Canis lupus familiaris: one gene and its partners. The protein of the gene in region 2 interacts with the protein of the main gene of each other region in a pairwise test. Links are inferred from orthologs where the notes say so. Each region holds a gene or a part of one and is shown on either strand. Other genes may lie near its edges. The genes, in order: PDE6D, ARL3 and ARL2BP.

Region 1 (10,898 bases), on a different chromosome or scaffold from region 2:
AAGGCAGGTGCCAAACCGCTGCGCCACCCAGGGATCCCTATTTTTATTTTTAAAAGGTTTTACTTATTTATTTGAGAGAGAGAGAGAGAGAGAGAGAGAGAGGCAGGGCAGGCAGAATCTTAAGCAGACATGGAGCTTTATCTCATGACTCTGAGATCAAGACCTGAGCCAAAATCAAGAGTTGATGCTTAACTGACTAAGTCATCCAGGCGCTCCTTAAAGATTTTAAGAAATCTCTACACTCAACATGGGGCTCGAACTCACAACCCTGAGATTAAGAGCCACATGTTCTACCAACTGAGCCAGTCAGGGGCCCCTGTAGGCAGTCATTTATTTTCTAGATATTATATTAACTTCTGCAGTATAAGTAAATAGGGGCAATTAGCTAATCATCAGAGAAAAAGTTAAATCACTACTTCATACCTTAGACTCAAGCAAATCCCAGATGGAGTAAAATAATAAAATTATAAAAGCATAGTTTTTCTTATGGTAGCCTGCAGTTTCTTGATATTAATAAAGCTGTATATAGCTATAAATATGTATATATTAAAACTATTCTCACAGTTGAAAATCAATGTCTAATTTTTTACTTCTCCAAAACTTATTTACTAATAACCCATTGATGACTAGACTTACTAATATAAAGTCAATTAACCTGTATTTTATATATGTATTATGTACCATATTCTTTTTTTTTTTTTAAAGATTTTACCTATTTATTCATGAGAGAGAGAGAGAGAGAGAGAGAGACGCAGAGACACAGGCAGAGGGAGAAGCAGGCCCCATGCAAGGAGCCCGATGTGGGACTCCATCCCGGGTCTCCAAGATCACACCCTGGGCTGAAGGCTGTGCTAAACTGCTGAGCCACCCGGGCTGCCCTATGTACCAGATTCTTACAATAAAATAAGTTGGAAGAAAAATGTTATTAAGAAAATCATGAGAGAAAACATATTTACAATACTGTAAAACCATACTCTATACTGTAGTTACTGAAAAAATTCTTGTCAGTGGACCTGTATGTAAACCAGTTTTGTTCAAGCGTCAACTATATTTGTGGTGAGGAAGAGCAGTTTGAATAGGCAAAACAGTGCATTATACAGACTACACTAGAACACTGTGTAAGAGGACTGTGACAAATCTATGTCATGGAAAGCAATGAAAAGTAATTATCTTTGGAAATTATGAATATGGTAAACTTATTATTAAGTGAAAAAATAAGTTAAGAAATAATGCTTATGATTTAATTTTTATAAAAGCAAATACATTAGCTACACTGGAAGACTACATTAAAAAAAATCAAAAAGGTGGGACGCCTGGGTGGCTCAGTGGTTAAGCATTTGCCTTCAGCTCAGTGCGTGATCTCGGAGTTTCGGGATTGAGTCCCACATCGGGCTCCCTGCATGGAGCCTGCTTCTCCCTCTGCCTGTGTCTCTGCCTCTCTCTCTGTGTCTCTCATGAATAAATAAGACTTTTTAAAGGTCATTTCTGGGTGGCTAGAGTATGTAACAGAAAAAATAAATACCATTTTATTTTATTTTTAAAAAGATTTTATGTATTTATTAGAGATGGGGAGAGAGATGGGCGGGGGGGGGGGTGGGGCGCACAGACACAGGCAGAGGGGGAAGCAGGCCCCATGCAAGGAGCCTGATGTGGGACTGGATCTCCAGTCTCCAGGATCACGCCTTGGGCTGAAGGCAGCGCTAAACAGTTAAGCCACCAGGGCTGCCCCAAATACCATTTTAAAACAGCACAAGAAGTTAGATTTCTACCACATATCATTTGTGTAAAAACATTTCAGGTGGAAATGAAAACATAGAATATTTAATTTTAGGATAAGGAAGGTCTAGTTTTATTTAGTTATAACAATTCATTTAATCTGTATTGCAAACCTATGTAGTAGATACTATGATTTTTATCCATTTGAATATTAAAGAAATGGATGGAAAGGGAGTTGAGTGACTTGCCCAAGGTCAGGAAGGTCTTCTTAAGACACAAAATACAGGAGTACCTGGGTGGCTCAGTTGCTTTAGCATCGGGGACTCTTGATTTTGGCTAAGGTCATGATCTCAAGGTGGTACTGAGCTCCATCTTGTGCTTTGCATCAGCCAGTCTGCTTGAGATTCTCTCCCTCTCCCTCTCTCTCTCTGCCCCTCCACCTGATTCCATGTGTGTGTGGAGAATGTGCATGCCCATGTGCCCTCTCTCTCTCAAAAAAAGAAATAAATCTTTAAGACACAAAATGCAGAAGCCATATGGAAAATGCTGATGAATTTGAAATGATAATTTAAAATTTGTTCAACAGGGTGGCCTGGGTGACTCAGTCAGTTAAGCATCTGTCTTCAGAGTCCTGGGATGAAGTCCCTCTCCCTCTGGCCTTCCCTCATGCTCATGCTCTCTCTCAATATAACATCCTTAAAAATAAATAAATAAATAAATAAATAAATAAATAAATAAATAAATAAAATTTGTTCAACTAAAAAGGAGATGAACAATATATTGATGGAAAATATTTGCAACATACAGAACAGGCAAATGATATTAAGGCACACACACAAACCAGTAAGTAAAAAATTCAATAGTAAAATGGGCAAAAAACAAAATCAACAAGTGATTCACAGAAAAGGAACTGCCAAACAGAAGATTTTGCAACTTCTCTAACAATAATAAGAGCTAATATATAATGTTTACTAGGCATCAGGTGCTTTTCTAAATGCTTCAGCTATCAACTCATTCAATCTTCGTAACAACCCTATGAGATAAGTACTATTTTTAACCCCATTTACAGATGAGGAAATTGAGGCTGAGGTTAAATGAGTTGCTCAGGGACAACCAAGAGTGTAGGGCTGGGATTCCAACACAGAACAGCTCTACAGTCCAGAATTCTTCTTAACCACTATGCTCTATTACCTGTCCAGGGATCTAGATATCCAGGGAAATACAAATTAAAATAAGGTATCACTTGTCTAAATTGGCAAAAATATAAAAGACAGAGTCAATGTGGAACTGAGCACTGTCAACATCGCTGGTAGGAGACTCTAATGGTGCTTTCTTTTGGTAGAAAAAAACTCTTACAGAAACAGATTCAATGAAAGTTCAGAAAAACAATTCACCCAATAAAAAAGGTGGACAATAAGCAGTTTGTTTTACTAAAAGATTGTGTTTTCCTGAAGGTAGTAGCAAATTCTAGAACTCCTTTCCTTTCTCTCTTAATCCTCAGATGTCAATAAAGGCTACCAGAGGATGAGCATCCTCTTGCTCCCATGCTAACTTTTTTATGCGGCTGCTTCCCTTGAGATTTAATCAGCTCAGGTCAAACCTTCTCTGAAAGCCTGTTTCTTAATACACTAACGTCATCATTGAACTGGTTAATTCACCTGATGATGATTTCTACTCTTTTCCACATGTGTCCCTTAACCTCTTTCTCAACAGCTTCAAGAGCCCAGACTGAGGTAAGAAGTTTCTTTGTTTGAAAACCATTAAAAAGATTCTTTCTTGTTTTCAGCAGTATGTTAATTCCAATTGGACCAAAAACGTTGCTTCTGAAATCTCTCAATTCCCCAGTCTCTGATTTTACTATCTACAGTATACATGTAACTAACAATACAAATTACTTAGGGGAAAAATAAAATCCATGTCACAGCTTTTCTAAGACTTCAGCCATCCCTATTTACTTATAGGTGCCATTATGAAAAAAGACACCGAAAGGTACACGAAGCTATAAAAAGAGGCTTTTACTAAACTTTACCACGAATGACCTTATGCCTAGTGTATAATGCCTTCCGTTTTTTTTCAAAAGAAGCATAGCAGATCAGCTTCCATTTGAAACTTTTCATTTGTATATCTAAAATGTCCTGTAACTTTTTTGTTGTTGTTGTTGTTGTTGCATTTTGGGTTCTAAAATTTACTACCAACTTGCTTTCTGACTGTGAAAAGCAATTAAAATTTCCAGCGGTGAAATGGGCATCGTGAAAACACAAAGGCAGCTCAGAGAACAGTGCTTCACTAAATCTCCTTTGGGGGGGTGGGGGGAGACCTAAAGTGATGACTACAACTTCACGGAGAGAAGAATTTGAGAACGTTCCATTTTGTACGCACGGGATGTAAAAAGAGATTTAAGCTCAGCAGGAAAATGTGAAATTGGAATGTCCAGGTTTGCCTATTTTTCATCCGCATCCTATGGTCACAGACAGACACTCCATTTAAACACGAGGCTTCCTAATACGTTAAAGAGAGAAAGAAGGTTGCACAAGCGGCACCACAACAGGCCAGGCCTGGGGCAATGATTTCTAGATCCTGCTAAATCCTACCGTGTCCCCAAAGTAATCAAATAATTGCTGGACAGCTCCACCTGGTCTCCGCGTGAACCTCACAAACGCAAGCGCGCAGATACCTTTGCCAGGAGTCCCGGTGCAAAACCAAAACACCTCAAGGCATCTCACGCTCGAGTGCAGGGTCCTCACTTCGCTGGACAGAAAAGTGAAAGGCTGAGAGAGAAGCTGCCACCATCCAGTGCCTCACAAGGCCAAGAGAGTGTTAAGATGAGGTGGATCCCGGGCTTCTCTTGGCCCACCTTCCTCTCTGCTCCAGCCCTGGAAGGAGCCACAAGTGAGGCAGAGAAGTTGTGGAAACAAGGAGGGGGTGGCGTAGAGGGGGGGACGGGGGAACCCGGGAGAGTTCAGCACAAGCATTTGCATTTGTCCCACCCAAGGTCACTCGCTCCGAGTCACTTTTCCCTGCTCCCCCGGGGCCTTCCCGCCAAACGGGCTGCAGGGCTGCGAGGCCAGCCCCCCGCGCCCCTCGGCCCTCCCTGCGGGCCGCAGCCCCCCTTCTGGCCTCCGGGCGCGGGCCGAGGCTCGGACCCAAGCCGGCCTCACCGCCACGCGTTTCCGACGCCCGCCGCGTCTCCCAGCCCAATTCGGACAGGGGCTCCTCCACTCCAGCCCCCGGCTCCCGGCAACGTCTCCTTCCTCCCTCAGGACGCCCCCTGCCCCGCCTCCAGTACCCGGTCCCGCCGGGGGGACCGGGACGCCGTTCCCTCGGTCCCCTCCGTCCCCTCCCGCCGCGCTCCCGTCCCGAGCCCAGCAGGCGCGGCCCCCGCCCCCGGCCCGTCTCCTCCGCCAGCGGCCGCCCCCCAAGTCCTCCCGGCCCCGCCCCGCCCCACTCCCGGGCGGATACAGTTTGAAGCCCTTCAGGATCTCCCTGGCCCTCTCGTCCTTGGCTGACATGATGCGGCGGCCGCCGCCCGCGGCTCTCCCACGCTGGCCCGGCGGAGCCTCGCAGACGGTGCCCAGGAACCGAGGACGGAGCCGCAGCGCGGCCTGGAGACCTCCAGCGAGCAGCGGCAGCGGCCAGACCCGGACCGGCCTCTCCCTCCCCTCAGCTCCCGCTCCTGATCCCTTCTCCTTCCCCCTAGCCTCGGAGCGCCCGCCCCAAAGCCAATGGAAAGCCCTCCTCGCCGATTGGCATCCCGAGCAGCCAATAGAAACATTCAGCGGCTTCGCCGGGGGACGACGAGCGTCAGTGGGAAGGGCCCTCCCCGGGAAGTCCCGTAGGACAAATTTTTCTTTAGGTCTTGTTGCCTAGAGTTTGCCCCAGCGGAGGGTTGGCTTCAGATCTGCAGAGGCTCGAGGGGCCCGCTCCCTCCGCGGGGCACACTAGGGCGCTGAAATGACGGCGGGTTGCCCTGTGCGATGTGAGAGAGACTACATTTCCCAGCATTCCGGGGGAGTGCCCGGGGGAACCACAGATCCCATCACGCAACAAAGAGGCCCGGGGACTACAAATCCCAGCATTCCCTGCACCCTGTTCCTCTGTAACTTAGACTCCAGTGTGCCGCGCAGTGTGCGCAAATTCGTAAACCTTCCCTCAGCCTTGGGGGTTTCTGAATTCGGAGACTTGAAACTGGGCGGGAAGACCCCCTTAACTCTCAGAAGAGGATGACAGCCCACAGGGAGGTAACATCTGTTTACATGGAACTCAGAAATCTCCTGCAAATCATGGTAAGGCTGCAAACAACAAACAAAAACACTTGATTAAACCACGGAAGATAAAATGACTCCTTTAAATCGTGCTTGTTTGTTGGTCTGGGGCGCCTTTTACTTGTTTTGCAGGGGTTTCTGGTGTGCTCCTGCGTTGGGCTGGGAGAGATATGGATCGTATACTCAGACTCTCCCTACCGGAAGGGATATTAAGAGAATTTGCCAAACCACCCTCTGTTGTTTTACATACGAGGAAACTGAGGCCCCAGAGAGGCGAAGCGATCGTCCACTGGTTACAGCAACTTGGGACAGAGTTAGAATTCGGCTCTAAGTCTCCTGACCCTCAGTTTGGGCTGTTTACACCACACTGAGGTGGCGATATTTTTAGCAGCATGGCTGTGTGATTATTATTTTCCTTAGTGAAGTATCCTCATCCAGGTTGAAACACCCAGAGGTTAGGTAAGCATTCATTTTGGTGGATTTCCTGTAAGTGAAGGAGTGTGATGTTTGTTTATCTTCAGTCTAGGAAGGACTTAGTGTTTTGATTTGTTATTTGTTGCTCAAGGTGACATTTAATGTGATTTCAGGAACTAGGTAAAATTGTAGCGTAAGCTAAGGTTTCCTTGGACATCTCCTATCTCTTTTCCGAGGCCTTCCTTCCTCTTCCCGTCCCCCTTTCACCCATCTGGGCACCCACCCAATTTTTCCTTCCATGTAATTCAACAAAGAGCCTTTTCAGGTTTCCGGTAAAGGGTGAAAAGGCATTGTCACTGCCTCCAGGAAGATAACCATCTAGTTAGGAAAAAAAGGAGACTCTGCTGAGATTCAAGATGAACTGCAATAAATGTCATAAAGGAAAGGTCATCAGAATGCTACAGAGGTTCTGATGGAAAGATCAGATCCAGCTGGCAAAACTTGATGGAGGAGGTGGCATTTGAATTTGAACGATGGGTGGATTTTTTTTTTTCCTGTTAAAAAAACTTTATCTTAAAATTTTTTTGTTCATGAGGTATGACATGCAGGAAGGGCACAGTTTTGACATTTGTATACATCTGTGTCACCACCCCCCAAATCAAAATATAGAACATTTCTGGCACCCCTGTGCCCCTTCCCAATCAGCACTGCATCCTCCCATCCCGATAACTATTCTGACTTCTATTACCATAAATCAGTTTTGTTGTGAATTTCATTTAAATGTAATCATACAGTATGTACAGTAGGAGCCTGGCTTTTTTTCTTCATCAGTTGTGTGTTTTTTTTTTTTTTTTTTTTGTGAGATTCATCCATGTTGTATGTAGCAGCTTTTTTTTTTTTTAATTACTGACTAGTATTCTATTGTGTGTATCTAGCAATATTTATCTGTTCTATTGATGGGTATTTATGTTATCAGTTAACAGTTTTTGGCTTTTGTTAAAGCTGCAATGCGCATTCTTATAGGTTTCTTTTTGTAGACTGCACTTATTTCTAGGAGAGGAATGGCTGGCTTGTACAGTATGCATATGATCAGCAACAGTATGTCAGTTTTCCAAAGTGTTTGTATCATTTTCCCTTTCACCTGCAACGTAAGAAAATTCTAGTTGACTCTTATCCTTGTCAAAACAGGTTCTTTGGGCAGCCCGGGTGGCTCAGTGGTTTAGCACCGCCTTCAGCCCAGGGCATGATCCTGGAGACCTAGGATTGAGTCCCAGTCAGGCTTCCTGCATGAAGCCTGCTTCTCCCTCTGCCTGTCTCTGCCTCTCTTTCTCTCTGTCTCTCATGAATAAATAAATAAAATCTTAAAAAAAAAACCAACCAGGGTCTTAGAGGTCTTTCTAACTTTAGCTCTTTTGGCTATAAATGTGGTATCTTATTACAGTCTTTTCTTGCATTGTCTCTGATGTTGAGCACTTTTCATATGATTTTTAATTATTTCAGTGTTTTCTTTTGTAAAGTGCTTGTTCAAGTCTTTTCCCTACTTTTTAAATTGGGCTTTTTGTCTACTTATTCATACTGATTTGTAGTTCTTTATGAAGTTTGGATATGGAGTTCTTTGATACAGGCTTCAGGAATATCTTTTCCAGCTCTGTGGCTTGCCTCTTCAGTCTCGCATTGGTGTCATTTGATAATCAGAAATTCTAAATTATAATGTAGTGTAGTAGCTCAGTGTTTTCTTTTATGATTAGTGCTTTTGTGCATTGAGTTTAAGAAATCTCTGCCTACAGGGTTGGTAGGATTTTAACAGGCAAAAATAGGAGGGAAGAGCATTGCAAAAAAGGATGGAGAGCAAGCTTGAGCATAGGCCCTGGTGTCAGAGAGGGAAGGTGGAGGTTGTGTTGGGCATAGGAAGGCCTAGGGTTTTGGCTGTAAGAGGGTGGGACGAGCCAAAGCTGGAAAGGTTGGAGGGAAGCATACTGAGAAGGGATTTCTCTGCAGCCCTGGAGTCTGGACATTATTCTGGAAGAAGTGGAAGTACTGCTAGAATATTTATGAACTCAAACAGAACTTAATTATCTTCCTATTACCGCAAATTTGCTTTTTTTCCTCTGCAGCCCCATTTACTTAGAAACATCACCTCTGAGTGAATAGCCAGAGTCTTGGGTGATACCCTTCTTCCCTATCCCTGCATTCAGCTGGTCAGCACATCGGACACATTCCATAGTCTAAATGCCTCCCACCACGTCCCTTCTGTTTCATGCCCAACTGCCACTGTCTTTGTTCAGGATCTCACAATCTCTTTTCTGTACTATATCAATCACCTCAAGAGTTTCCCTGCTTCCAGCTCTCTCCATATCCAATCCATTCTTATAGCAGCTAGTGTGAGCATTCTAAAGTGGCAATTATTCACACTTCTCCACAGGTTAAAAGCCCTAAGTTCTGCCACCCCCCAGCACCCTCAAGATAAAATAATAACTCCTTTACATGGCTTATACTTTTTGTGATTTGCTTGCTCATTCTTCCATGTTCAACTCAAGCCTCGTCTCCAGAACCCTGCTTTAAATCACCTTTCTCCAGAGCACAGGCAGGAGAAGAGCCTTAATCTGTAGTTCTAGGGTGCCTATGGCAACTGGCTGTTATAGCCAGACAGGTTTGTCTCTCTCCAGGGCTGTGGGCTAATCCCAGGTAGGGACTCTGCAGTATTAAGATATTTACTGCGTATAGTGCCGTGCGTGTGGTTTATAGCACCCTTGATGACCTGACTCCAGGTCTGTAGCCCTCATTTCTCAAACCTGAGCCTTGTATTCCAGACACTCTGGGTTTCTTTTCTGCATTAGTATATGCTACACAGGGCAAGCCTCTGTGACTATGGTCAGCCACCTTTTCTTCCCTTTTTGCCTGGAAGATGCCTGTTTTCTTTTCCCCAACATACTCTCTTCTATGCTTCTAAAGTATTGTCATATCTTTCTCATAGCACTTAACATATTGAAGCTTTTCTCTTCTTCTTCTTCTTCTTCTTCTTCTTCTTCTTCTTCTTCTTCTTCTTCTTCTTCTTCTTCTTCTTCTTCTTCTTCTTTTTTTTAAAGTAAGCTTCTTGCGCAACATGGGGTTTGAACTCAGGACTGGTGATTGAGAGTTGCATGCTCTACCAACTGACCCAGCCAGGCGCCCCCACACTGAAGCTTTTTGAGGGCAAGAACCTTGTCTTCTCTTTATATAATCTACCAGAACATAGAAATTAGAACAAGACATTTTTGCATAAATCAGTGGGTTGGTGCTAGGCTCCTTTGCATCTGTCTGATTTCTGCACTCTAATTCACCAAAGGCAAATAGGGCTATTTTCCTTGTCTTTAAGACCGGAAAGTCTGTGATGTATACTTTAAAGGAACCAGCTTAAGTGTTCAGCTGTGTAGCATTTCTTAGCCATCTTCCAGGAAAGTTGCTAAGTACTAGATGCAACCTCACATATGTCATTTTGCTCACAGAGCCATTGTTGGCTCAGCCCATCTCTTGCTTATTTTATTTTTTATTTTTTTAAAAGATTTTATTTATTTATTTATTCATGACACACACACACACACACACACACACACACACACACACACAGGCAGAGACACAGGCAGAGGGAGAAGCAGGTTCCATGCAGGGAGCCTGACATGAGACTGGATCCCGGGTCTCCAGGATCAGGCCCTAAACTGCTGAGCCACCCGGGCTGCTCATCTTGCTTATTTTATTTTATTTTATTTTATTTTATTTTATTTTATTTTATTTTATTTATTATTTTATTATTTTAATTATTTTTATTTTTTCCATCTTATTTTAAAACGTTTTTCTGAACAGAGATCATGAATATGGTCTTTAGCTTCCCAGAGCCCGGGGTCCCAAGCCGACTTTGCCACTTACTGGTTTTTGGATTTTTAAGCTTAGAGTTTATTCAACGAGACAATGTACACACCTGGCACATGGGAAAACGCTCAATAAGCGGTCGTTATTACACTTATTATGTCTTTGCATCCGGGGGAGCCGCAGCCGCCGTAGGCAGCTCCTGAGGGGTAAAGCTTGGCCGAAGGGGTGAATTTCGGGCGCCGCAGGTTGATGTTGATGGCCAGGCCCCAGCTCTGCCTGGATTGCATTCGCCTCCTCAGGCTCCTCTCCACCCGGTTCCCGGGCTTCGACCTCGGAGGTCTCTCCCAGGCCCAGGCCGCACTGGAGGTCTGAGGCTGCCAACGCCGTGGGGGGAACCTAGTGTGGGCGGAACTCGAGTGCAGCGGCGGGAGGCTTCCGGGGGAGCCGCAAGGGCAACGGGTCGGCGGAGGCAGAAAAGCGTCGGACGCCGGGCCGATCATGGACGCTTGACAACCTGCGGACAGGCGCCGGGAGGCCGAGCCAGCGACCGAGAGGACGGAGAGGAGGTGAGGGCAGGTAGGGGTCGGCGAAAGGGCGGGGCCCGGCGCGCCAGGCTCGTCCCAGCCGTCTGGCTTGGCGCCAGGCCCCCTGGAAAACCCG
Region 2 (10,247 bases):
AGACACAGGGAGAGGGAGAAGCAGGCTCCATGCAGGGAGCCCGATGTGGGACTCAATCCCGGGTCTCCAGGATCACACCCTGGGCCGAAGGAGGCGCTAAACCGCTGAGCCACCCAGGCTGCCCATAAAAATATTTCTGATGGTGATGGGTACCAACAGGTCTGATCAAAGAAAAAAAAAAAAAAAAAAAAGCAGAGAAAAATTACAGTGCCAGAAAGGTAGGGATAGGAGCCACAATTTTAAATATAGCAATCAGAGAAGGTCTCAGTGGCATAAAGTGACACGTGAGCAGAGACTGAAGAAGGTAGAGAATAAGCCGTGAGGATAGCTAAGGATATCTAAGAATCTTAACACTGCAAATAGTAATGACCAAGGCCCTGAGGTGGGAATATGGCTGTGTTGTAGGGACAGAAAGCAGGCCAGTACGGCTGGCACCAAGTTAGAAGGGGGAAGACAAGACAGATAAGCCAAGCCAGAAGGCAGGGGGCCTTGTAAGCTATTGTAAGAACTCTAGCTTTATTCTGAGATGGGACAGGATCCCTATGGATATACCTTTGAGAAGAGATTTTCGGGAGGAAAGGCAAAAGCAAGGAGACTAGTGGGGATGACATGGCAATAATCAATGCACAGTAGCAGTGGGCTAGAAAGTAGTGGTCAGATTCTAAAAATATTCTGAAGGTAGAACTCACAAGATTGGCATAGGTCAGAGGTGGGGAGTGAGAAGGAAAGGAGCCAAGGATGACTCCAATGCTTTTAGATGAATGGAGCTGTTGTTTACTGAGGAGACTGTAGAAGCAGCAGGTTTTGGGAGGGATGAAGATAGGAATTTGGTTCTGGACATACTGAGGATGAAGGGACTTACTAGCCACTAAAGTAGAGATGTAAAATAGGTAGTTGGCTATATATAAAACTGAGGTTCAGGGGAGAGTTTCTGGTTGAATATAATAGGTTGGGATTCACCAGCATGTAGGTAGTAATTAACGCCTTGAAATTGGATGAGGTCACCTACGCTACAACTTAGAGAAGCAAAGAACAGGCCTGAACTCTGGAGCACTCCAACACTTGGAGGGTAACAAGGGGGGAAAATAGCAATGGAGATTGAGGAAGAGTGGCCAGTGAGATACGAGGAAAATCCAAGACAGAATGGTATTCTGGAAAATGGGAAGATAATGTTTCAATGACAGTATGACTGACTTTTATTTTATTTTTTTATTTTTATTTTTTTTTAAGATTTTATTTATTTATTCATGAGAGACACAGAAAGAGAGAGAGGCAGAGACACAGGCCAAGGGAGAAGCAGGCTCCATGCAGGGAGCCTGACGTGGGACTCGATCCTTGGACTCCAGGGTCACGCCCTGGGCCAAAGGGAGGCACTCAACCGCTGAGCCACCAAGGCATCCCTATGACTGACTTTAAAAAAATATATTTTATTTATTTATTCATGAGAGACAAAGAGAGAGGCAGAGACACAGGCGGAGGGAGAAGGCTCCATGCAGGGAGCCTGATGTGGGACTGGATCCCGGGACTCCAGGGTCACGCCCAGGGCCAAAGGCAGGTGCTCAACCACTGATCCACCCAGGGACCCCATGACTGACTTTATTAACTGTGCAGCTAGGTCAAGTAAGAGGAAGATGGAAAACCTTAGCAATGGGGAATTCCTGGGGAGCCTGAATGGAGGGTTCAAGAGAGAATGGGAGGAGGAAGTGAGGAGAGAGCTCAGAAAACTCTTTTTGTTTTAAAGAGAAACTGAGGAATAGGACAGTATCTGGATGGGATACACAGCCAGGACAAGAGTTTTTTTTTGTTTGTTTCTAAAAAAGAGTTGCCACAGGCTGTGTGCATGCCGACAGAATGATCTAGTTGAAAGACACATAGGAAGCAAAAGCAGAGAGCAAAGTTATTTGAGAGATGCAAGATGGTGTCTAGTGGTAATGGAAGTCACCAACATGGCTGACCTTATGGCAGTTCCTTCTCTATGGATAGAATTGTAGTAAATGCAGAGTTTCCATTAGGGTTTAATGAAAATAGCATACAGGTTTTTTTTACTATCCAAGTTCATGAGACCCCCTGGTTTTAGGCTATGATCATGACAGTGAGTAACTAAGGTAAGGGGAATGACAAAATCACTGGAGTGAAGGTGAATGAACTGAGAGGCTGTGGTGTTGGAGAAATCAAGTATGTGGATAGTGAAATCTTCAAGAATTCTGAAACAGCAGTACTACAGAATGTCACAGAATGTGACAGTGAGCTGAGAGTTAAGATCTTAGTCCCTTCCTGAACAAATGCAGCCTGAGCCAGGGAATCCCCAATGAACAAGACAGCTGCTTCTACTTTTTTTTTTTTTTTTAAAGATTTTATTTATTTATTCATAGAGACACATACACACACACAGAGGCAGACACAGGCAGAGGGAGAAGCAGGCTCCATGCAGGGAACCCAATATGGGACTCGATCCCAGGTCTCCAGAATCACACCCCGGGCTGCAGGCAGCGCTAAACCGCTGCACCACTGGGGCTGCCCTGCTTCTACTTTTGGACAGTTAAAACGATAGGAGACTTCTTCCTTACTCTGAGCTAAACTCTACCACTTAATATTCCCCAAATCGCTCCTCACCCAGTCTTCTAGAACTCTTCATGATGAGGCAGAGAACTCTCTTGCTCAAGATGGCTCTTGAAGCAACTGAAAATAGTTCCAAGTTTCTTTTCTAGGAAAAATATCTGGGGATATTCTCAGTTGGTTAAGTAGCTGCCTTTGGTTCGGGCCATGATCCCATGGATCCTGGATCAAGTCCCATGTTAGGCTCCTTGCTCGGTAGGGAGTCTGCTTCTCCTTCTCCCTCTGCCCCTCACTCTGCTTGTGTGCTCTCTCTCAAATAAATACAAAAATCTTTTAAAAAAAAGGGGGAAGAACATCTATTGTTCAGCCATTTCATATGCATCATTATTTCCAGGACTTCCACCCTCTTGATTGGCTCTTTGGGATACTCTTGTTGATTTCCTTGGGATAATGGAGTTAGTGGCACTATCTTCTGATTTCCCTTCTGATATTCAGATCACTATGTTAAATTAATAAATACTTTATTTTGCCAAGGTGAGTGTGGGCACAACATTGTCACTGAGCAAAAGCAAAATTCTTATACAAACCATACAAAAATGTTTCTCATAATCTGCAGCCTTCTGCTAGCCCTAAATTCATAGTGACTTATAGTAGTGGAATTACTGACAAGAAAGAACATTACAGTTAATATTTCCTAACACAATGCAGAACATATTATGAATTAGTGCATTAGAAGGAGTACTTACGAGAATATCAGTATTTTCAAAATAATTTCTCCAGTATGGTCTGATTTTTCTCTGTCCACCAATGTCCCATACATTCAGTTTAAAACCTTGAGATTGTACACTTTTGATGTTAAAACCCTGAAAGAGAGGCAAAACATGAAGCTTTATTAAGCTTTAGATCATAGTTCTGACAGTTATATTTAACAGCTGTGTTATTTATTAATTATGAGGTACTCTGCCAGATGTGATACTGGTAATATTGAAAATTGTCTGCTATGATACGGAAGAAAGAAATGGGTTTTTATAGGCTTACTTCAGGTTTGGAGTCACTGTTAATATTAACATGACAATTTCTCTAGTAAGTGTACACACATGCACGTGTGCACGCACACACACACACACAAAACTGCTGAGGACAACTTGGAATGAGTTCTAATAATCAAGATGATAACATTTAATAGAACATTACATTTAACTAACAAAAAAACAGAAGCTGAATCTGCAGATTCAACAGAACAGAACAAATCCTGAGTTTAAAAAGAGGCAAGAGCTACTGGAAGATAGGATTCTTTAAGAAATTTCTTCATATGGATCAACTCAGGAAAAAGGAGCTGAAGTTAGGACACTATGGGAGAAGCTGGTTTATAAATGGACTATTAGCCCAATGAGGAAGGGATGGCCTGCTAGAACAGCATGTTCAAACTCTGAAGTGGGGCCCTCAGTTTTTTATTTTTTTATTTTTTTTATTTTTATTTTTTTTGGGGGGCCCTCAGTTATAAGCAGTGATGAAAATAAACAAGAAGGCATTGGAAACTGTTCTTTCGTAAGCATCTCTGATGAACTTGAAAGTATTCATTTCTCAGGACAGTGACTCAAGGTGGAACTCTGGGAAAGGTGCACAAATCAGGGGCAGGTGGAGCTGGGAGTTGGTGTGCAGAGAAACAAATTAACAAGACCTCTGGGGTTTGGAGAAAAGGCATTTCGTGAGCAATAATTAAAAAAGAAATATTTTTCTGAGAATGATATAGTGAAATCAAGACTTGAAAAATCCAATCAATAGATTGCTACCACAAAAGTGACGTTTCATCCAGGATAGCTGGAGGGAAGTGGGCCTGGGGATGTCTCCATAAATATGTGCCTCACCTGGCAGCTTGCCAACACTACTGCCTAGTGCAGAAGGACAAGGCACAATGTGACAGTACAGAGCACTGCCACCCAATTTCCACTGAGGATAAATGGGCACTAGGGAATACCTGGGGATGATGCTGACTATAGCTCCTGTAAGATGTCACAACTGAATAAATTAGAAGTTTAAGAACTCCAAAGGGAAGTGGCTTAAGTTTATTGTAAACGGCAGCTTCATTCTGACTCACTGACAAAACCACTTTTGTGCGCTTAAGAATTGTACACTTAACTACAACATTAAATGTCAAAGCCAGTAATGTCAAATCTTTATGGAGTGAAGCAGAAGATAAATAAGAGTAGCTCCTAGAATTTGACTATATGTATCAACTGCCTTAAAATTCTAAAAGTCATCAAAAGAAAAGAAATCTATTAAGACCAACAAATATAAGAAATTATTCTAAGGAAATAATAATGGGTGCAAACATTTAGAAATGTAAATATGTATTTACATATATAACAGTAGAAAGATGTTCAAGATGTATTATTCAGTGAAAATGATGATATGATATATTCTTTGAGTCATTTTAATTTAATTAATTAATTAATTAATTTTTTAGTCATTTTTATTTTAAATATATGCATCATAAGGGTGCCTGGCTGGCTTAGTTGCAGCAGAGCATGCAACTCTTGATCTCAGGGTTATAAGTATGAGCCCCATGTTGGGTGTAGAGATTAATTAAAAATAAAATCTTTAAGGGACGCCTAGGTGGCTCAGTTGGTTAGGCATCCAAATCTTGGTTTTGGCTCAGGTCATCATCTCAGGATCATGAGATTCAGTTCCACGTCAGGCTCTGTGCTCAGTGCAGAGTCTGCTTGAGATTCTTTCCCCTCCCTCTCCCTCAGCCTCCACTCATATTCTCTTTCTCTAAAATAAATAAAATCTTAAATAAATGGAATCTTTAAATAAACCCATCACGTACATACATAGAAAAAAATGGATACATTCTTAAATGTTAACAGTGGTAAAAAAAATTTTTAACAGTGGTTATGTCTGGGCACTATAGGTGATTTCTAGTTTTGCAATTTTACAAATGTTTTACAAATTTACTATAATGAGCACCTATTACTTTTTCTTTTTTTTTAATTTATTTTTTATTGGTGTTCAATTTACCAACATACAGAATAACCCCCAGTGCCCGTCACCCATTCACTCTCACCCCCCCGCCCTCCTCCCCTTCTACCACCCCTAGTTCGTTTCCCAGAGTTAGCAGTCTTTACGTTGTGTCTCCCTTTCTGATATTTCCCACACATTTCTTCTCCCTTCCCTTATATTCCCTTTCACTATTATTTATATTCCCCAAATGAATGAGAACATATAATGTTTGTCCTTCTCCGACTGACTTACTTCACTCAGCTACTTTTTCTAATATAAAACAAAAATGCAAAGCTTGGTTGTTTTTTTTTTTTTTAATTTTTAAAAGATTTTATTTTATTTATTTATTTTATTTTTAAATTTTTATTTATTTATTTATTTATATTTTTTTAAATGTTTTTTTTAATTTTTATTTATTTATGATAGTCACAGAGAGAGAGAGAGAGAGAGAGAGAGAGAGTGGCAGAGACATAGGCAGAGGGAGAAGCAGGCTCCATGCACCGGGAGCCCGATGTGGGATTCGATCCTGGGTCTCCAGGATCGCGCCCTGGGCCAAAGGCAGGCGCCAAACCGCTGCGCCACCCAGGGATCCCGAATTTTTATTTATTTATGATAGTCACACACAGAGAGAGAGAGGCAGAGACATAGGCAGAGGGTAAAGCAGGCTCCATGCACTGGGAGCCCGACGTGGGATTTGATCCCAGGTCTCCAGGATCGCGCCCTGGGCCAAAGGCAGGCGCCAAACTGCTGTGCCACCCAGGGATCCCTAAAAGATTTTATTTTAAAATAATCTCTACACCCAATGTGGGGGTCAAACTTAACAACCCTGAGATCAAGAGTCACATGTTCTTCTGATTAAGTCAGCCAGGCACCCTGAAAGCTTGTTTTTTTTTTTTAAAGATTTTATTTATTTATTTATTCATGAGAGACACACAGAGAGAGAGAGACACACAGGCAGAGGGAGAAGCAGGCTCCATGCAGGGAGCCTGACACGGGACTCGATCCCGGGTCTCCAGGATCACACCCTGGGCTGAAGGCGGTGCTGAGCCACCTGGGCTGCCCTGAAAGCTTGTTTTTAAAGAGTAAGTATGGGGGTACCTGGGTGGCTCAGTGAATTAAGCACATAACTCTTGATCCCAGCTCAGGTCTTGATCTCAGGGCTGTGAGTTTAAGCCCCACGTTGAGCTCCACACCCAGTTACTTAAAAATAACCAAAAAAGGGGGGCACCTGGGTGGCTCAGTTGGTTAAGCTTTGGACTTTTGATTTTGGCTCGGGTCATGATCTCAGGGTCATGAGATCCAGCCTCCTATTTGACTCTGCACTTAGTTGGGAGTCTGAGATTCTCTCACTCTGCCCACCCCCCCACCCCGGTTCATGTACATGCATGTTTTCTCTCTCTTTCAAATAAAGAAATTTTATTTTATTTTATTTTATTTATTTTTTAAATATTTTATTTATTTATTCATGAGAGACAGAGAGAAAGAGGCAGAGACAGGCAGAGGGAGAAGCAGGCTCCAGGCAGGGAGCCCAACGCGGGACTCAATCCCAGGTCTCCAGGATCACGCTCTGAGCTGAAGGCAGGCGCCAAACCGCTAAACCACCCAGGGATTCCCACAAATAAAGAAATTTAAAATAAAATAAACATGAAACCTTCACATCATATAATGACAAAGTCACCTATAATACATCAAATAACGCCTGAAAGTTAGAATTGGAACTTTGAACCCATAACTTAAGAGTTCATTTCCATGTTCACAGTGCTGGCCGTTCTCATTTTAGTGATACTCTTAAGAGATACAGCCTACTGCTAATACTCAATTAAAAAGAAAAAAAATCCTAGACTTTTCTTTTTCTGGCAGAAATCCTGACACAGTAATATGTGTTTTTAGCCCTTCTAGGCTAGACTACTGTAATTTGCTCCTCCTTAGGCTATACATTAAATTTGTTCAGAAGCTGTAAAATTGCTCATTTGGTAGCAATTGAAATGACTTTTCTGCAAAAAGTTGCAGATCAGTAAGACTCCCAAGCTGTGAAGTACACACACCAGCACAGCCATTCAAACCTGACACCAAACTCGTATCACAGTACAGTGATGGAAAATGCTAAAAAAAACCCTCTGGTTTTGCTAAAACCTCTAATGCTCAAATACTTTAAAGTGACTAAGACCAAAAAGGCTGTCCTCTAGTTAGGAAACCCAATGAGTTGGGCAAAGGTCAAGCTTTCTCAGGATTTCCTACAGGGAAGGAGGTCTAAAGAAAGAGGTCTAAAGGAGGAGGGTTGTTCCACTTAGGATCTGTCTTTCAACTTCCACACTGGCAGCACCACCGTTGCCTTATCCTTTGTATTTTTTTTGCTTAGCCTTAGGAAAGAGGCTGGATTAAAAAATATAGGTTATTTTTTAATGAAAAAAAGATATATATTTATTAAATCTGAAAAATACACCCTAAAATATTAACAGTAGTTTTTCTCACGGTATTGGGTTTTTTTCTTTTATACTTTCTGTATTTTCTACACATATTAATTTCATGGTGAGAAGATTAAGTTATTTTTTAGAAGTAATCACTTAGAGCTGAGGGAATTGACTGTCTTGATATATACATATGCTTATTTAAATTCTTTATTTAAAAATTGGTAAAATAGATATAATATCTACCATTTTGACCAGTGTAGAAGTGTAGAATTTAAGTGTAGAATTCAGTAGTACTAAGTGCATTCACACTGTTGTGCCACCATTACCACCAGCCATCCACAGAACCTTTTTCAACTTACAACACTGACCCTCTGCACCCATTAAACAATGACCCTTCCAATCTCCCCTGTCTCCAACACCTGGTAACCACAATTCTATTTTCTGTCTGAATGAATCTGACTACTCTAAGAACCTTATATCTATGGAATCTCTTGACATATTTTTGAAATCTTTTATTATTTTTAAATTGTATAACTTTTCTCATTAACACTTTTTTTAAAAAAAGATTTTATTTGAGAGAGAGAGAGAGAGAGAGAGAGAGCGCGAGCATACAAGCAGGGCAGAGGGGCAGAGGGAGAGGGAGAAACAGGCTCCCCATGAGCAGGGAGCCCGCCGTGGGACTCGATCCCAGGATCCCGGGATCACGACCTGAGTCAGAGGCAGACACTCAACCAATGGAGCCACCCAGGTGCCCCTCATAACACAACTTGAGAGTGTACAAAACCATATTTCCCATTTTGTCTTCCATATGGCTATGATCACTTCCCATAAGTCACACAAGCACCTGGGGCCAGGGCAGTGCTTACCTGTGTAGGTGTAATGTGGCTGATGTCTTCAGATGCAAGCTGCTTCAGAAGAGTGGTCTTGCCAGCATTATCCAAGCCCAGGAGAAGGATTCTCACCTCCTGGTCTGGTGCACTTTTCAATTTGCGCAAAATTGAGAGCAAGCCCTTAAACAACCATGAAGAAGAGAGATTACTTTTGGGGCACTGACTTTGATGTTATTAGGTATAAGAATATCTTCTCCTTGACAACAGTTCTTGGTTGTAGAGAGGTCATAGTATATTCCAGTTCAATGTCATTTATTTCATTTGCTTCCACCTTCTAAGTTTTGGCAGAAGTACTTCAATAAATTCAGCAACTCAATAAATGACATGGCTTATTTCCATTCCTATTAATCCAGTTTAGCAGTCACTCCACATCTTCTGTGAGTATGAACTACTACTCAACTCATGTTCCTAAAGCCCTTCATATACACTTAGAGCATGCATCATATCAGACTATAGATAATTGATTTTTGTGTTTCTCTCCTAGAGTGAAGTTTCTTGCAGGTAAGAGTTATAGCTTTGGTCTCCCACAATGCCTGGCACTTATTAGTTGTTGAATTAAATACAACTACCCACCCAAGCAAGTACAAGATTTTATGGTGCTACACACACACACACACACACACGAAAAAAAAGTTGTATAAAATTAAGACTTTATTTCAGTTTACATTTAAGACTTCATCACTCAAAATACTCTATCATCATCTAAAAAAACTCCAAAACTCTATCACCATCTAATTTTCACAAGACCCTTATAAGTGCATGGTATAACTTATGTTTTTCAGATGAAGAATCGGATACATCAGAGAAGTTAGAGAATTGTCAAAGTCAGTCATAAAGAATAAAATTTAACCAGGTATTTCTGACTAGTAATATAATATTTGTTTCTTGCTTTTATTGTTTTTAATGGCTAGAAATAAGCCATATTGCTTTTTAGCTACAAACATAAGAAAAATTGTATAAGATAGTTATTTGTTGCATCCTGCAGCTGACAATTTTGTTCCAATGAGGCATGAGTTACAACAAGAATCAAAGAATTCCACAGTTTAAAGGGCATATAATCTAATCTCCCAGCTCAAGCAGAAATTCCTTCAAGCTGTCTTAGAATTATATAAAATGGTTATATTTTTTTATCCTTATTGCACCCGGCAATAATTCAAACCAGTCTGTTCACTAAGATCAAATAACAGTTCTGTGAAATAATTCTCAACAATTGAGTCTTTGGACAATGATATGCAAATATGCATAATTATTAAGAATTCCTTTCTGTCTCAGAGACTCTTTGTTTACCACTTCTAGTATTCTGTATTTGCACTGACTTGCTAAGGATTACATTAACCTCTCTGTGCCTTAATTTTTTCCAGCAATAAAATGGAAGATTTAGTTTAAG
Region 3 (10,709 bases), on a different chromosome or scaffold from region 2:
ACTTCCAAGTTTACTTATGGTACAAAAGTATTTAATAAGCGCCACACATTAGTACAGAAAAACACAGTCTATAGCTCATACTTTAAAACCACAACAGCCAACTGAAATCAGTAGAGTCTTGTTTTTACTTAGGGAAAAAATATAGAAGGTACACATTGGGAATTGAAATACACTATGCTTTTTCTTTCTAGAGGTATGATATGTCTTTTCTGGTCAGTAATTTCTCTGAAACATTGTGCTACGTCAAAGCCTACAGATGACCAGTGAAGCTGTCTGCTCTCCTACTTCTGCTGAGCTAGCTCAGTGGAACACCATCTTGGCAGGCAGATTCTGACAGGAGGAGGCAACTACAGAGACCCTACCCCCAACAGAATACCTAACAAAATGATTTATATGGAAAGGGATTTCAGAAACCTGTACAAACACTTAACATGCTGTAAGAAAGGGAGACCTTTTAGCCTACTTCCAGCATAAGCACACACTCGTTGGCGCCCAGTAAACCAGGCACGCCAACAAAGAAAGCCTTTTTGCTTTCATAGCACTAACAGCTAAAAAGCACACAGCATATAATACTTTGATCTTTAAGTGGGTAATCATGGAGGCTCCAAGATTATATCCACTAGGTTAGCCTGAGTATTTACCTATAAAAATATTTTTCTAAAAAATGCTTAAGAGGATTCTAGAAACAGACTACATCAAGGACTAGCAGAAGACAGTGATGCAAGGACTGCGAAGTGAAAGACAAGAAACTGATTTTCACATGGAGCTTCAGGTACAGGACTGAATCCTCAGCTGATTCCTAGAGCCGAGGCTAGCTGGGATGTGGCAGGGAGCTCAGCCAGGCGGCTGGCTTGATTAACAGCCTAGGGAAATGTTCCCCAACAGGAAGAACCCCCTTTTGAGGCTGCAGGTCTGATGAAACGATGCATACAGAAGGCTGTGAGCACACAAGAGCCTGATGGACATGCAGAGCCTGCTGAGCCAAAGTGGGCCGGAGAGGATGGGTTCTTCCAAATGCTTCTGACCTACCAGCATGTATATCAGGGAAAGAGGCCCCGGTGTGATGCCCGCCTTGGGCTTGCTCCAGAAGGGCCTGACGCAGAGGCCTGAGGCAGGGGGTCTGCTCGGGGAGGAGTGGTAGGATTACCGAACACGAGAAGGTGCTTCAGGGTCTCTGTAGGGTCAGTGGATTGTCTTCTGACCCATCAATACTTAACATTAATGAGTTGTAAAACAGAGTCAGTCTTTCCAATGGGTATTGTCACATTAGCCAGAGCCTCTTCCAGTCTATTGGGCTGGCAACGTCCAGAAAGATCCCATTGCCTGGTGGTGGGACCTAGGGCCGCAGGTCATTCTGGGAAGCTGGCACAGAAGATGATTTGCACAATGAAGTCACCACTAAACCACTGCTTAAGTCCAGTCCCCGACCTTCTTTTTCCTGGGTTAGAAAAGAAATAATCCTAAGAGGCAAGGAATAGGGGAAAAATAAAAGTCCTTTTCTAGGTCAGAATTCTGCCTCTGGCATGGGGGAGGAGGTGCTCAGGCTGAGAGGGTGGCCACAGAGGAGCACACAGGAGGGGGAAGGAGGTTATTTTGCATTCTGGTTCAGCGCTGCCCCAGTCATTCTTTAAAAAGTGTCACCTCTTTTCACAGAAATAGATTTTTTCCTATGAAGAGCCTGCATTAGAAGAGAGGCAAGGTAATTAGACCTGCTTTTCAGTTTTGTCCTTTTGATTATTTATGGTCTGTAAGAGGTACCTGGGACTTGTTACAACAAAACACGACAATATAGTCCCTCAGTAAGGGTGCTGGGTCCTGCTTGGAGGACAGTAGCTTGCTCTTCTGACACCTGGTTAGCTGCCAGACTGATAGCCAGCCAGTGGTGGGGAGAAACCAAGTTTCTACTTGACATTTCCTTAGTGCTTTGATGTGGCTAACAAAGTGAGCAAGAGTGACTTACTGCTCTGTAGTCCAGAAACATTTCTTTAAAAGCCAGGAAATCTGTAAACGTGAGCAGCATGTCAAATATGTCGCCTGCCACTTCATCTTTATGGTGCCTGTGGAGGAAAAGGATGGCCTTTTCACAACAGGCTAAAACAGACTCTGTCTCTTCAAGATCCCACTAGAGGGTTGTGAGGGCCTCCCACCCAGGACCCAACCACTGAGTGCTGCCACCGTTCATGTTCATGCACTGGAGCAAAAATAAAAAAAATTAAAAAGAGGGCCTTTTTTTCAGAGTGAAGGAGGAGGAAGGTGAAAAAAGATACAAGTGCAGAGTTAAGCGCAACTCACTGTAAAGTTGTTGTGAAAGCCGCCATGTTAAACCCAGGAATCCGCTCCAGCAGCTGTTCTTCAATATACTTTTCTACCAAAGAAATCTGCAACAGTGGAAGGGATCGTGGTTTTAGGAAAACAAGGCTGCTTTTCAGAGAAGTCTGGGCTCTAGGCCTTTGCAAACACTTCCTAAGAGCCTATTCTATGTGCCAGGCTCCATGGTGAGCGCTGGGGAAACTAAAGAACCCAAATAGGGCGCTTGTCCTCACTGAGCACGTGCCCTGGCTCACATGGGGAAGGGGAAGGTGCTGAGATAGGTGGAGGCAGCGGACACCAGGGCTCCCAACTCCCCGTGGTAGGAAGTGAGTAATGAAGTAAATGGAGCCTTTTTCCTTGGGCAGATGGAATCTATTAAAAAAGAACGGACAGGGGTGCCTGAGTGGCTCAGTGGCTGAGCGTCTGCCTTTGGCTCAGGTCGTGATCCTCGGTTTTTGGGTTCCTGGGATGGAGTTCCGCATCAGGCTCCCTGTGGGGAGCCTGCTTCTCCCTCTGCCTGTGTCTCTGCCTCTCTCATGAATAAATAAAAAGGGATCCCTGGGTGGCGCAGCGGTTTGGCGCCTGCCTTTGGCCCAGGGCGCGATCCTGGAGGCCCGGGATCGAATCCCACGTCGGGCTCCCGGTGCATGGAGCCTGCTTCTCCCTCTGCCTGTGTCTCTGCCTCTCTCTCTCTCTCTCTGTGACTATCATGAATAAATAAATAAAATCTTTAAAAAAAAAAAAAAAAGATCTTTAAAAAAAAAGGGGGGGGGGGGGCAAAGAGGCATACTGCTGGAGGTAATCACAGGTTCTATATATGTTGAGGCTTGGCTGGAGGAAACCATCCAGGATGTCATGCTTCTAAGGCTAAGAAAATCCCGGAGACTCAACCTTTGCTCAGACAGAGGATATCGTACCAAGAGGGTAACTCCAGGCCTCAGCAAGGGTCCAGAGTTGAGACTCCTGGGTTCTGGTCGTGGTCTCCCCACCAACTGATTAATGATCTTGGTCTTGGTTTTCACTTCCACCTAACAGTCATGCCATGTCTGACTGGATGTGTTGTAGCAAAAAACACAGTTGATGCTTAATAGAGAGGGTCTGAACTGTGTGTCTCCACACAGACATGGGTTTTTTGTCTTTGTTTTATAAATATAATACAGTACTTTAACTGTAATTTCTCTTTATGATTTTAGTAACATTTTCTTTTCTCCAGTTTCCTTTAATACAGTATAGAATACCTATACAAAATACGTGTTTATCAACAATTTGTTATTGGTAAGGCTTCCAGTCAACAGGCTACAAGTAGTTATGTTTTTGAGAAGTCAGAAAGTTATATGGGGATTTTTGACCACAGGGGCATCGGCACCCCAAGTCCCCATAGTGTTTAAGGGTCAGCTGTAGTGTGTGTCCCAAGTCCAAAGGTCAAAAGCATATCAATGCAAGGTACAGTGAACCCATATGTTCTAACTGAAGACAGGAGTATGATCAAGCCAAACTTCTTTTTTAAAGTAAGTTGGATGGGGCAGCCCTGGTGGCGCAGCGGTTTAGCGCCACCTGCAGCCCAGGGCGTGATCCTGGAGACCCGGAGTCCTGTGTCGGGCTCCCTGCATGGAGCCTGCTTCTCCCTGTGCCTGTGTCTCTGCCTCTCTCCCCGTGTCTCTCATAAGTAAATAAATAAAATCTAAAAAAACAAAAAAAACAAAAAACAAGTTGGATGAAAGCCACCAAATGCTGCGGAGGAAAAGCAACAGATGAGAACTAAACCGGATTCTAAACAATTCCTGACAGGTGGCAGCTTCTCAAAGTCCAGCATATGTCAACATCTTTTGGTTTTCAACTCACATTTTAAAGAACTCCTACTAATCTCAGGGGGAGGGAAACAAAACCACTTACATATTCATTAAAAATAGGCGTGTAGGTGAGTTTATTCTCTTCTGTGTCTTCAAACTCCTGATAGTACTTGTCCATGAAATTCCTCTGTAGTAACTGGAACTCGTCATCTGAACCACAGTAAGAAAATGTTACGCTTTTTATTGGAAACTAAAAACCATTCTGATTTATAAACAGGCAGGAATTCTCTGCCAGCACAAGTGCTTTCTCAATGGCCAGGATCTAGGAGAGGGAAAGCTAAAGATGCTTTAAGGAAGTGTTCAATAGGATACCAGTGTTCAAAAAGCCCGATCCAGTCTTTTTATTAATAATAAGTATTAGTATTTTTAAAAATGTGGTAACATATACCTCACAAAAAATTCACCATTTTAACTATTTTTGAGTGTGGTTTGGTGGCATTAAGTACATCCCCATTGTTATGCAACCATGACCACCATTCTTTGGTCCATTTTAAAGACACCCAATTCAGGGTGGCTTGGGAGCTCCTTCACATGCCTTTTCCACAAAGGAATGGGTTCTCTTATAATATGATTTCAGCAGCTGTAACAGTGCAGTGATTAAGCACATGGGCTCTGATCCTAGCTCAGCCACTTGAATTGTGTGACCTTGGCACACTTCCTAGTATCTCTAAGCCCCAGTTTTGTCGACTAGAAAATGAGGATGATCAAAGTACCTATCATAAAGGATTGCCAAGTGGAATTCAGATAAGGACTAGCATAGAGATTAGTTTATAGCAAACACTTGAATGTGAGAGAACAGGGAACGTTAGCAAGTGAAGAGAATATTACTTCTGAAAGTAAAAGGAAAGCTTCACAAATGACCCAGACTTTAGGATAAATACCCTGAGCTTAAAAAAGGGTCCTTTTCCCATGGCACAGGGTGCCCAAAAGGGCAAAAGAACTCAGAAGTATTCCTTGGGATTCTCCCAGAAACCGTCAGAGTCACAGAGGACAAGGGCTTACTGGTGAAATATTTAAAGTGTGAACCTTTTTGGGACCTGAAAATATAAAAGCTTGGGTCAGTCATTTTCAGACTAAACTAGACTGAGAAACACTGCTAGGACCACTAAACTAACGCAGTCCTTTTTTGCCTAATTTGAAGAAAACTCTGAATTTTCTCAAAGTTTTTCTCCCCCACGTATTTGTCTTAAACCTTGGGTGCCTGTCACTGCTTATTAGCAGGCCTGTGTGCACCCAAGTTAATGCACAAAGCAAGCCTCAGAACCCAGGAAAATACAGAACCAGAACCAGCTGAACTATGGCGCTTTATTTTCTTCATGGACATGTGTGCTATGACTATGGTATTGGGCTGTGGTTTATGTGATGAAAACGTTAAAGCTCAAAACTGAAAAATGGAATTCCTCTTACTCTGAAATAAGGTAGGCTGTGCCAAGAGCTTCCTAACGTCTAGGGCCCCATCCCCTCCGTAAATCCCTTCTAGGACCTAAATCCATGGTTACTGTTGAAGCAGTGGGGGATGTTTGCCTCAAAAATCACAGCAAGGCTCCATATTACTCTGTGCTACGTTGAAACTGATTCGCAGCTTGCTGTTTTCTCTCAAAATGAACTCCAAACTGCAAGGGGGTAAGAACTACAGAGGGCACAGGTTAGACCGCGGCTCAAGGAAGCTTACCCATGATGATGTCCTCTAAATATCCAACCACAGCGTCGAATTCTGCATCAGAGGCAGAAGAGCTGAAAAATATATACCGCCATTAGGTGCTGTTTCAAAGAATCCGCTTAAAAAATATATCAAGGACATTTTAAACATGCCTAAAAAAGAAACCGCAAAACGAACTTCCCATCACCCAGCTTCAACCACTAAGAATGATGATCGTCTAAGGGAGCGATTCCAAACAGGGCGATACGTTTGACACGTTGGTGACATCGAAGCTCAATGAATGTCTCCACTTTCGGAAAACCTGTCCTGACACGAGGAACTACGACAGGGGCAGGTAAAGGGAGCGACGGCCCGCCCGCCCCCCGGGTGTCGCCATCAGCGCACACCGAGCGGCCTGCGAGCGCGGGCCCGGCGCCAGCGACACACTGGCGGAGGGCGACAGGCCCGGGAGTCCCCGAGGTGGTGGCGGGTCCTCCGCCCCGTGCTCGGCCTCGGCAGCTCAAGGCCGCCGGGCTCTGCTGACGACGGAGGGTCGGAGCTTCACCACCGTCGCTCTCTCCCCTCCCCCCCCCCCCCCGCGGCCTCCAGGCCTCAGCAGGGAGGCCGCTGCAGCCGCGCGGTCGGCGGCGGCCCCTCACCCCGCTCCCGGCCCTCCCGGACACCCCCACTGCACGGGGCGGAGGCCCGGGCGAGCGCCGGCAGCGCCGGGCGGCGTCACTCACAACGACAGCGCGAAGCTCTCTTCCTCTAGGGCGTCCATCGCCGCCGCCGCCGCCGCCGCATCCACCCGCGGGGCGAGCGCGCCCGTCGGCCTTACCCCGCCCGCGGCCCGGGCCCAGCCTCCGCTCTGCTCCGTAGAGCCCCAGCCCGCATCCGGGAGGCCTCGCCGCCGACGCCGCGGCCGCTCACGGCCCGGGCCTCAGGCCTCAGGCTCCCCGGCGGCGGCCACGAGCCGCCCGGGCCCCCGCGCCCGGCCAGGCCTCTCGGCGCCCGCCGCACTCGCCGCGGGGTCCGGGCGTCAGTTACCCACAGCCCGGCGCCGCGCCCCGCCTCCCGTCACCATGGCCACCACAACCGCTTCCGCCGCCTCGCGCTTCCCGAGAGCCAATCACAGGCGCGCGCTGCCCGACGCCGGGGGCGGGGCAAAGTGGGGAGCGGAAGTGAGGAAACGGAGAGAGGCGCGGGGGGCAGGCCTTGAGCCTCAGCGGCCGCCTGTTCCCGGAGCGTCCTCTGGGTTGGTGGCGGTTAACTCTCGCGTCGTCCCCTCTTAACGAGGAAGGAATGGAAGCTGAGGACCGCAGTTTCGCTTGCAACTTGGGGATAAATTACAGGATTTAAGAAGATTAAATAGGGGGCGCCTGGGAGGCTCAGTGGCCTAGGGTGGGACTCTGGATTTCCGCCCAGGCCGTGTTCCCGGGATGGAGACCCAGGCCTGCGTGCGCTCCGCGCTCAGCGTGGCGTCCGCCGGAGATTCTCTCTCCATCTCCCGCCGCCCTAACGCCGGCCCCCCGTGCTTGCTCGCTCTCTAAATCTTTTAAAAAGATTAAAGTGGGTTGTAAGAGCACTGTAAACTGCAGATTTCTTGAGTGCCAATCCCTTAGCTTTTGAATCTAATAATGCAGACCTCTTACAAGACAGTTGCAACCTTTTGTGGAATTTACATCATAAAGATAATATTCATATCATAAACATTATTCGGCAAGCAGTTATTAGTTTCTTGGCTAATTAGGCGCAATAAAAGTTGACAATCACTGAACCAATGTAATCAGAAATGGGATAATTGTGTTCCAGGAAAACTCCCCTCCCAAACTCAAATTTTGCAAAAGGATTCCCGAGAGCTGATTTCTCTTTGTTTATTAAAGATTTTATTCACGAGAGACGCAGAAGCATAGACAGGTAGAGGGAGAAGCAGGCTCTCTGAGGGGAGCCTGAGGCAGGACTCGACCCCGGACCCCAGGATCACGACCTGAGCCAAAGGCAAACCCTCGGCCCCTGAGCCACCCAGGTGCCTGGAGCTGATTTCTCAGGATTGGACCATGAGGCCTTATGTGTCTTTGGTTGTGTTATACCCTTGGGCCAAATGTGTGGTACGTGTCTGCAGTGAAGGTTTGATCTGAGGGTCAAGATGGCCAGCCTGAGTGAATTGACATTTTGAATGGACATGAAATAGATCTCAGTGAGGGGTACCTGGGTGGCTCAATGGGTTTGGTATCCCACTGTGGTTTTGGCTCAGATGGTGATCTCCAGGCCATGGGATTGAGCCCTCCCCCACCAAACAAGAGTCTACTTGTCCCTCTCTCTCCCCTTCTGCCCCTCCCTCGCTCACTCATGCTTGCTGTCTCACTCTCTCAAATAACATTTATTTTTTAAAGATTTAATTTATTCATTCATGAGAGACACATAGAGAGAGGCAGAGACACAGGCAGAGGGAGGAGCAGGCTCCATGCAGGGAGCCCGACGTGGGACTTGATCCCGGGTCTCCAGGATCACGCCCGCTGAGCCACCAGGACTGCCCTCTCAAATAACATTTTAAAAAATAGTTAACAGTGGAATCTGGGGGCAGCCCGGGTGGCTCAGCGGTTTAGTGCCGCCTTCAGCCCAGGGCGTGATCCTGGAGACCCGGGATCAAGTCCCACTTCGGGCTCCCTGCATGGAGCCTGCTCCTCCCTCTTGCTCTTTCTTGCTCCTGTCTCTTGCTCTGTGTCTCTCATGAATAAATAAAATCTTAAAAAACAAACAGTGGGATCTGGAACTAAAAATGGTTACCAAGAGAGTTGTATCCAGAGTGAATGAGATCAGATCTCAGAGCTATTATATTTAGCACCAAATAGAAGACAGGTATCTATAAAGGTTTGCTGATTAACTAGACTGAGTTATATTTAAGGCAAGTGATGGTTTTGCAGCTCAAAGCAAACTCAGCATTTCCTCATGACCTATTTTCTCTATAAACCACTTATTTCTTCTGGACTAAATGAACGTGCTCACCATTTTTCTACTTCTGAATCATATGCAATCAGAGTGGAGTAGGAAATGATTTCAGCTGTTCTGGATATCTATTGCTATTACAAACTACCCAAAAATTTAGTGACAACACAACAATTATTGTGCTTAGCAATCTGCAATTTGGGCAGGACTTGGTAGTGACAGTCTCTGTTCTACTTGGCATCAGTTGGGGCAGCTGGAATGGGGCTAGAGGAGCCTCTTCCAGCATGCTCACTCACATGTCTGGCAAATCATTGTTGGCTCTTGCCTGGGAGCTCAGCTGTGGATGTTGGTCAGAGGACTACTGGTTGGCAGGGAGTGGGGGGGGGGGGTGTCTTCAGTTTCTCTCCATTTAAGTCTTCCCAGAGATGGTTGAGTTTTCTCACACCATGGTGGCTGGGTCCAAAAACAAATATTTCAAGAGACAGGAATTGGAAATTGCCAGCCACTTAGGGACTGGAAACTGGCACAGTGTCACTTCCACTGACTTCTATTAGTCAAATAGACATGAAGTCCATCCAGATTTTAGGAGAGGGGGCTTAAACTTCATCTGTAGATGGGAAAGATGTCAAAGAATTTGTGGCTAATTCCACTTTACCATTTCTGAGTTTTGTCTTGTTTTAAGATTTTATTTATTTGAGAGACAGAGCACAAACGGGGGAAGGGCTGAGGCAGAGGGAGAGGGACAAGCAGACTCTTTGCTGAGCAGGGAGCCCAACATGGGGCTGGATCCCAGGATCCTGAGACCATGACCTTAGCCAAAATCAGCCGCTTAACCGATGGAGCCACCCAGGTGCCCTACCATGTCTGGCTTGAAGAACAAATGGGCACAAAGATAATAATAGGTACCCATTTACTCAGGCATGTGCCAGTTACTGTGCTAAGCATATATTTATATACATGGTCTCTTTTTGAAATACTTGAAACTCTATGAGAAAAAAAAGAAACAACTCCTAAAGTTATTATCTTATAGATTAAGAAACAAAGGCTTAGAAGTACTTGCAAATGGGTGATAAGTGGCATCATTGAGCTGGAACTGGGTCCAGGCTTACTCCCAAGGTATGTTTAACTGTCATGCTATATATGGCTCCAATCCCTGAGCTGTCAAACAATACTCCTAGAAATCAGAACATGTTTTTCTGCTAAAACAGAATGGTGGCCTTTAAAGAAAAAATTTAAGACTCACTTGAATATATTATGTTTTACATTAATAATTTCTTTTTTTTAAAAGATTTTATTTATCTATTCATGAGAGACATAGAGGCAGAGACAGACAGAGGGACAAGCAGGCCTCTCACAGGGAGCCCAATGTGGGACTCAATCTCTGGACCCAGGATCATGCCCTGAGCCGAAGGCAGACGCTCAACCACTGAGCCATCCAAGCGTCCCAATAGTCATTTCTTAAATCCTTTGTGGGTAAGCATTAAAAAAAATTTTAAGGGATGCCTGGGTGGCTCAGTGGTTGAGTGGCTGCCTTTGGCTCAGGGCCTGAACCTGGATTCCCAGGATTGGGTTCCACGTTGGGCTCCTTGCCTGGAGCTTGCTTCTCCTTCCTCTGTGTCTCTACCTCTCTTTCTGTGTCTCTCATGAATAAATAAAATCTTAAAAAAAAAAAACAATTTAAGACTTATTTTGGGGGGTAGAGAATCGAGCAGACTCCCAGGTGAGGGAGTAGCCAGGTAGGGGGCTTGATCCCACAACCAATGAGATTATGATCTGGCCTGGGTGGTTCAGTTGGTGAACTACCCAACTCTTGATTTTGGCTCAGGTCATGATCTCAGGGTCCTGAGATGGAGCACCCCTGTCAAGCTCCACGCTCAGTGCAGAGTTTGCTTGTCCCTTTCCCTCTGCTCCTCTCCCTCTTCGTACTCTTGACACTATTTCTCTCTCAAATAAAATATTAAAAA

The links.
Region 1: the proteins of ARL3 (region 2) and PDE6D interact in binary tests that used the Homo sapiens proteins (3 or more experiments, as listed by UniProt). The link is inferred for Canis lupus familiaris from reciprocal best matches to the Homo sapiens genes ARL3 and PDE6D.
Region 3: the proteins of ARL3 (region 2) and ARL2BP interact in binary tests that used the Homo sapiens proteins (3 or more experiments, as listed by UniProt). The link is inferred for Canis lupus familiaris from reciprocal best matches to the Homo sapiens genes ARL3 and ARL2BP.

The regions. Positions count from the first base shown.
Region 1 is NC_049246.1:43,814,300-43,825,197, forward strand, and holds the start of PDE6D (retinal rod rhodopsin-sensitive cGMP 3',5'-cyclic phosphodiesterase subunit delta), read right to left. Parts: upstream 5,285-10,898; 5' UTR 5,226-5,284; coding exon 5,176-5,225; intron 1-5,175. UniProt on the Homo sapiens protein: Promotes the release of prenylated target proteins from cellular membranes. Modulates the activity of prenylated or palmitoylated Ras family members by regulating their subcellular location.
Region 2 is NC_049249.1:15,362,824-15,373,070, forward strand, and holds part of ARL3 (ADP-ribosylation factor-like protein 3), read right to left. Parts: intron 8,981-10,247; coding exon 8,837-8,980; intron 3,420-8,836; coding exon 3,303-3,419; intron 1-3,302. UniProt on the Homo sapiens protein: Small GTP-binding protein which cycles between an inactive GDP-bound and an active GTP-bound form, and the rate of cycling is regulated by guanine nucleotide exchange factors (GEF) and GTPase-activating proteins (GAP).
Region 3 is NC_049223.1:58,398,239-58,408,947, forward strand, and holds the start of ARL2BP (ADP-ribosylation factor-like protein 2-binding protein), read right to left. Parts: upstream 6,697-10,709; 5' UTR 6,581-6,696; coding exon 6,543-6,580; intron 6,169-6,542; exon of another isoform or gene 6,005-6,168; coding exon of another isoform or gene 5,973-6,004; intron 5,895-5,972; coding exon 5,833-5,894; intron 4,311-5,832; coding exon 4,204-4,310; intron 2,379-4,203; coding exon 2,293-2,378; intron 2,058-2,292; coding exon 1,961-2,057; intron 1,679-1,960; coding exon of another isoform or gene 1,628-1,678; exon of another isoform or gene 1,484-1,627; intron 1,461-1,483; coding exon 1,350-1,460; coding exon of another isoform or gene 1,337-1,349; 3' UTR 1-1,336. UniProt on the Homo sapiens protein: Together with ARL2, plays a role in the nuclear translocation, retention and transcriptional activity of STAT3. May play a role as an effector of ARL2.